Rattus norvegicus: one gene and its partner. The protein of the gene in region 1 interacts with the protein of each later gene in a pairwise test. Links are inferred from orthologs where the notes say so. Each region holds a gene or a part of one and is shown in the gene's direction. Other genes may lie near its edges.

Region 1 (3,655 bases):
CCACCATGCCTAGTTTATTTTGAGAAAAGGTTAGTGTGGCCCAGATTGTCCTGAACTGTGTAGATTGGGTTCATCTCAGGTTTGGAGTGATCTGGTCAACTTCCTAAGTGCTAGGATTGTATGTTACCACACCCTGCCTGGGCTTTTGATTTCCTGGTCTTTTTAGCTAAAGTTTCCCAGTTCACAGTATAATCTTAACTTTCTGTAGAGAAGTAAGGCTGAGAATTACTCAGGGATAGTGGGGGCTCAGCGTGCTCGGGGCTCCTGGGCTCCTGCACTGAAGCGATGGCAGCAAATGTGTTGTGTGATGAGTGAATATACGCCTTTCTTCAGAGACACTTCTGTGAATCTTTTTTTCTTCAGTTATTTCTGAGATAGTTTGCCAATAATTTAAAACAGGTAAAGAAAGAAAAGATGAGCCATCCTGATGGATTCTGAATTTTGTAAAGTTTCTAAAAATATGTCATTTATTAAAGTTTCAGAAAAAATCTGTATCTTAAGTGTTAACATAACATTTTGTCATGTACTACATGGTAGAGAAAATTGCCATGCTGTAAGGACATGTAATTTTCTAATTGTGTTTTTTGTCTACTATTGTATTGTAGGAAAGGGGACTACCACAGGTATCTGGCTGAGTTTGCCACAGGAAACGACAGGAAGGAGGCAGCAGAGAACAGCCTTGTGGCTTACAAAGCTGCTAGTGACATTGCGATGACAGAACTTCCTCCAACGCACCCCATTCGTTTAGGTCTTGCTCTCAACTTTTCCGTATTCTACTATGAAATTCTTAATTCCCCCGACCGTGCCTGCAGGTAAGTAGTGGACGAAAGTTCCCAGTGTGGAATGCAAAGGCTCTAGAGGACCTGCCTTCTGTCTTCTTGTAGGTGTCACAGGATTCTCTTGACTTAATTTTTATTAGCGTTTATTCAGTCTTTTGGGGTTGCTTGCTTTGTTTGAGGCATGGTCTTGGTACTAGGTGTCTAGTATAGCCTTGAATGGATTATACTCTTACTACTCTTAGTGAACAACTTTCCTTTTCAAAAATATTTTCTGTTTAATATGAAGTCTTATTTTTACTCTCATTGGTGATGTGACACTATTGTCATGCTAAGTTTTTTTGCACATTTGTGGGTGTAGATGCGTAGATGTCCCCATAGCTGGGCAGATGAAAATCAGAGGACAACTTGAGGGAATTGATTCTCTCCCTGCTATGATGGGCCCTAGGAGTCAAATCATGGCACTCACTAGTTGTGAACTCTTTTGGGGAGTTCTGGGAACTGAACATAGATCCTTTGGAAGGACAGCTAATGTACTTAACCACTGAGCCATCTCTCCAACCTCCTTTTCTCCCATTTTTCAGGTTGTTTCTGGTTTTTAAATCATGCTTTAGAACCCTCAGCATCAGCTAATTTCAAAACATTTTCCTCACTCCACCCTATCTGAGTTTAACCTGTGACTCTTATCCAGATTCTCCTAACCTGTTTCACTGTCTGAATTTGCTTGTTCTTGGCATCTTACATAAGTAAAATTGTTTTAATTTCTTGGTAACAGTATCTATAAATCTTCTATCCCATCCAGGGGTGGTGGCTTGTGCCTGTAATCCAGTCCTCAGGCGACTGAGGCAGGAGGATGAGCACACTTGCCTTGGTTACAGTGTGAAATCGCCGGCTTCTTTTCACCTTTTGTAAAGTGCATTGATATATGAACTTTCCCCCCTGTTTTTAGTGCAGAAAATTGAATCCAAGGCCTGTGTGTTTTAAGGTTTTTTTTTTGTGTATATATGTTTGTGTTTATGCCTGGTTGAGGTGGGAGGGAAAAGTGGACATTCATTGCCTGCTTTTCTCACTTGGCACCTCTTAAATTTTTTTTTTTTTTTAAATGTATGGGCCAGGGAGGTGGCTCAGCAGGTAAAAATGTTTGCCATGAGGCTTGCCAGCCTGAGTCACCTCCAGGACCCACATGCCCACTCACAGTGCAAAATAAAAGGTGTTTAATGTGTGTGTGTATGTGTTTCTCTGTGTGTGTGTCAGAGAACAATGTGGAGGTAGTTGTACCTGTTATCTGAATGACAAGGTTTCCATAGATTTTTACTGAAGAAGCTATAGCTGTTAGTGCTGGTGTTGACTGAATTTCTCACTATTGTTTCCCATACAGATGCCTCTTTGCCTTGGCTAAGTGTAGATTTCATTTCTTTTTTTAAGATGTAGCCAATGGGACTGAGGCTGTTGCTCATTGGTAAATTGGCTCACATAGTCCAGTCTCTATTAAAATGTATTGATTGATACTATTGTGCATCCAAGATTTTCTCTTTCATTAAAACTTAATAGAACTCAGAAAAATATCACACATATATTTTTATGGCGGTTTTGGGTGGGGTATATAGTTCTTTACGGTCTAGCCTATTTATAATAGTTTGTATAAATCATACTAATAATTAGTGCCTTGGGGCTAGAGAGATGGCGTAGTGTTAAGAATATGTGCTTTCAGGTGACCTGAGTTTTATTTCCAGCATCCACATTAAGCAGCTCCCCAACTGCTCATGTCTCCAGTTCTAGGGGGTCTGATGCCTCAGCCCTCATCAGACACCTACATTCTTGTGTACACACACACACACACACACACACACACATCAAAAAAAAAATTTTTTTTTTTTAAAGAATTAGCGCCTTAGCTGAGTGAGGTTGTACAGGGCTGTGAGAGACTGAGGCAGTTTATATAATTGCTTTGAGATATGCTCTCACTGTGTCACCCCAGCTGGCATGGAACTAGATCTTGCTCCCTTCCAAGTGCAGAAGTTAGTTATGTACTAGCACTCTTGGCTAGGGTTGGGATTCCAAGGACTGCCTTGGTTTATATATAGGAAAGTGTTTAAAAAGCAATTCTAGCATTTATTGAGATGGCTGAGTAGGTAGGGTGCCTCATAGCCAGAGTTTAGTTCTTAGGATTTATGTGATGGAGATAGAGAGGCAACTATGACAGGTTCATCTATATAAAATTTTAGAAATGTATTTTTTATTATTAAAAACAAGCTGGGGGTTGGGGATTTAGCTCAGTGGTAGAGTACTTGCCTAGGAAGCGCAAGGCCCTGGGTTAGGTCCCCAGCTCTGAAAAAAAAACAAAAAAAAACCAAGCTGGACAAAAAATATTTAAAGTTATCTAGGCAATTGTCTTTGTGACTGGTAGAATCACTGAGAGACGTGCCCATTGTTGCTTTCTTTATTGTTAGTTGGTTAATGATAGTGTGTTCATTTCAGGTTGGCAAAAGCAGCTTTTGATGACGCAATTGCAGAACTGGACACGCTGAGTGAAGAAAGCTATAAGGACTCCACACTCATCATGCAGCTGCTACGTGATAACCTGACGCTGTGGACCTCAGACATGCAGGGCGATGGTGAGCAAGCCCAGACTGCTTCTCTAACGTTGCTTCTTCTAAATTCTTTGCTGTTTCTTAGTCTTGGTCTATAATTCAGACTCAGCCTGTCTGCAGTAGTTAACGTTTATTCCTTCTGTAGGAAGTCGTGTCTGAGTACCATTTTGACCTCTTTATAGTGAAAGTAAAAGGCCTATTTGACAATTTCATACATGGTGTAGAAATACTATGCTAATATTTAGTGGAAAGGTTTTGCCTTTAATTTTGTTAGTACTCACTCACCCT
Region 2 (3,655 bases), on another chromosome or scaffold:
CCATTTAATGTTGCTTTTTCATGCGTGTATTTAAGGCTGACCACTGGGGATTAGAAATTTATCAGGAGGCTGCTCCACAGAGGAAATTGGTTTTCCTGTCGTTCTTCGTCTAAGGGTGAAGCTTTATGAAATTTCCTTTATCCATGCTAGCATGTCAATGGGCATTGTCACTATGTGGTTTTGATTAGGCAGCCATACTGTTGAGATTTCAAAGGCACAGTGGCTGTGTTATATCTAGAAGTCACTATCTCACAGCAGGTGTTCTGCTCTTCTGGCTCTCAGAATCTGTAACACTGGCTCCTAGGCATTCACTGAGTCTTGGGCATAGGGGTTATATTGTAGATGTTCCAATTGAGGGTGAGCATAGGATAATGACTTGTTTGCATTTTGAGCAGCTGTGGGTCTCTGTAAACAGCTCCATCTGCTGCAGAAAGAAGCTGCTTTGATGAGGGTAGAGCACTACTTCTACCTGACTGGTACACTGTTCAAACCATATTATATACCATAAAATTTGCTTTTTTGACAGTTTTTAGTTTACTCGGAGTTGTGCAGTAATTAATATAGGAAGGCAATAGGTCTGTCAATTCAATTTGTTAACCTCTAGCATGTTATCCTGAGATGAGTCTGAGTTTGAAGACATAAGTAAAAGGTTCTCCCTGTGTCTAGCTTGCCTGCTTGGGCAGCTCTTGTGATAGAGCCCCTCTCCACCCCCAGTCTCTTCCGTGGTTCATCTGTCTTGAAGGGAAGCTGGCAGGTTTTTCCATTGGCTTTTAGTTACCTCTTGCCTTGCTTGCTCTGGTCTAGTCACCTGATTTAGTTGTGAACTCCTACAAAATTAGCTATTTTGACTCAGTATCCACAAAGCTCTCAGGTAGTCGTTTTGGTACTTTGTTCAATTTATAGCTATTATAGTTGATCAGTTTGTTAATTGCTCGCTCTTCCACATAGGAAGCACAGTTTCTTTTTAAATTTTTTGTGACTGCATATTTTGCGTTGGCCTTGTGTATACTGGACAAACGCTATGCCACTGAAGCTATATATACCTTGCTTTCATTTTTACCTAAAACATAAAATATTGCAAATAAATGGAAGTTCTGTGTTCTGTTCAATGCTGGTGCCTCTTCTATACCCAGAGGTAGAAGAACTTTACCCCTGCTAAGAAGACTTTTTAGATGTTACTTGTCTTGAAATAGGAAGATTGACAGGTAATGAGTGAAAAGTGTATAGAACTTAAGATAGTACTATGATATCATTTTCTTACTATAATCTCTGGCGCCAAAATCAGTACTTTTAGAGAATGCATTCATTCTCTGGGTGATTTCCATGGAATGTGTCTGACTTGTTTTACAACATCTTGATGAACTCTTTCCACAGCTGTGTTCTGTACTGGTGGGAGAGACGGCAACATTATGATCTGGGACACCAGGTGCAACAAAAAAGGTAAACTAGTTCTGTCTTAATTTTAATAAATGTGGCTCACCCTGTGCTTAATAAAACAAGATACTCAAAATGAAAATGCTAGTGATTTCCTCTGCTGCCAGCAGGGAGCACTTGTGTTCCCAGTCCTGCTCATTGCTCACTTCTCAGGGTAATGAGTATTGCAAAGCTATTAGTACATGTTTTTATTTTCATACTGTCTCTGAATTATAATTCTGTTTACCTAAATTATTGATAGAATTAAAACTACTAATGCATAGATTCACTGAATAAAGGTTTGTTTGAGGTGTTTTTGTTTGTTTTTAATTTTCCTTTTTCATCCTGACAAATGGTTCATCAGATAAAGGTGCTGGTCATCAAACCCCAACTACCCGATTTCAGTTCCTACGTGTAGAAGGAGAGAGCAAACTCCCTCAAGTTGTCCTACAACCTCTGTACTCTGGCACCATGGAGTACATTCCCTTCCTTCTCTCCTCACATTAAGAAAAATAATTTAGCATTTAAAAAATGATTAAATTGAATATAAGCTTGTATTGTACAATAGTGGTATTAAAGGAGATGGTCATTGGTGTGTTTCTCATTATTTATGTATTGTTTTAAAATATTAAGCTATTTTTGTGGAGCAGTTTTTAATTTCATAGCAACATTAAAAGTGCAGAGAGGTCCATGTACACTGAACACTTACACATGCGCAGCCTCTCCTGTCATTCAGGTGGGGCCTCCTTCAGCTGGCAAGTGTTGGTTGATGCATAATTACCCCGAGTCCATAACTCACATCAGGGTTTATTTCTCATGTCACACATGCTGTGGATATTGACAAATAGACGTGTGTCTGTCTGCTCTGGTGTCCATGCTTCCTCACTAGGCCTCGCTACCACTGGGTTGTCTCCATGACTTTCCAGATTTTCATAATTGAGTCACGTCATAACTCATCTCTTTTTAGCACAGAATTACTCTTTTGTCCAGGTGTACCACATTGTATCCATTCGTCCACTAAAGGATACCTTGATTGTTTACACGTTTTAGCCATTATGAATAAAACTGTATAACTATATCTGTTTTTCTTTGTGATGTTATAAACTCACCATGGGAGATAAACTGGCTCTTTGGGATTGTTGGGAGATTTTTGTTTTGTTTTGTTTTTTAATTTACTGTGTGTATGTATACACACATACCATAGTACACAAGTGGATCCATCCTTCCATGTGAACGTGTGAGCTGGGAATCAAATCTTCAGGATCTCTACCTCTACTGAGCCTCTTCAGGGTTTTTTGTTTTTTTAAATAACTATTGTATATTTTACTAGTTAGTCAAAAATCACAAAATTTTGAGGTTCTGTGTAAATGTTTAAATATTGCTTTCAGCTTGAAATCAGAAAACACTAAAAATCAATTCCCTTGGAACATTTCAGATGGATTTTATAGACAAGTGAATCAAATCAGTGGCGCTCACAATACTGCAGACAAGCAAACCCCTTCAAAACCCAAGAAGAAACAAAATTCAAAAGGACTTGCTCCATCTGTGGTAAGGTTTTAGAGGACTGTGTGTGTAAATAGGTGGTTGTTGTTGTTGTTGTGTTTGCTTGCTTTTGAGGCAAGATCTCTGCATCCTTAGGCTGGCCTGAAATACATGATCTTTCTACCTAGGCCTACCAAGTGTTAGGACTGTAGATGTGAGCCACCTGCATGACATTAGTGGCGTTCAACAGTAGGGAGAATCAAATCTCTCTTCTTCTTTTGCCTATTGTGTTAGGCAAAAAGATGGATGTAACTCTGAATTCCTTTGGTATTAAAACTCACTTAATACCACTACAAAAAAATGGTTCTTAACTCCAGTGGGTTGTGTAGCAGACATGGTACAGATTGAACTTTCTGAGCATACATGCATTTGTTACAAAAAGTGAAAAGGTAGTTGAAGAAGCATGTTGAGGTCCAAGTGACAAGCTTTTTATGGGAAATGAGTCCTTGTCTTCATAGATATACTTTTTTTGTTTACTCTTTGAAACGTGCACTGTTGTTTTTAATGAAGATAGGTAATGGAAAGATGGGTGGAGGTTTAGTCACTTGTAGATGTTTTCGTCAACTTGCTGTAAGCATGGTGCTGAAGTTTTTCAATATTGTTTTTGTGGGTTCTTCTATATTCAGAATTTGTCCATATTTGAAACGTCGAAGCACGCTCAGTCATGCAAATGCTTAAGCAAAGACTGTTAAGCAGGAAC

The links.
Region 2: the proteins of Ywhae (region 1) and Dtl interact in binary tests that used the Homo sapiens proteins (3 or more experiments, as listed by UniProt). The link is inferred for Rattus norvegicus from reciprocal best matches to the Homo sapiens genes YWHAE and DTL.

The regions. Positions count from the first base shown.
Region 1 is NC_086028.1:61,110,279-61,113,933, forward strand, and holds part of Ywhae (14-3-3 protein epsilon), read left to right. Parts: intron 1-605; coding exon 606-812; intron 813-3,254; coding exon 3,255-3,391; intron 3,392-3,655. UniProt on the Homo sapiens protein: Adapter protein implicated in the regulation of a large spectrum of both general and specialized signaling pathways. Binds to a large number of partners, usually by recognition of a phosphoserine or phosphothreonine motif.
Region 2 is NC_086031.1:105,672,406-105,676,060, reverse strand, and holds part of Dtl (denticleless protein homolog), read left to right. Parts: intron 1-1,374; coding exon 1,375-1,440; intron 1,441-2,848; coding exon 2,849-2,961; intron 2,962-3,655. UniProt on the Homo sapiens protein: Substrate-specific adapter of a DCX (DDB1-CUL4-X-box) E3 ubiquitin-protein ligase complex required for cell cycle control, DNA damage response and translesion DNA synthesis.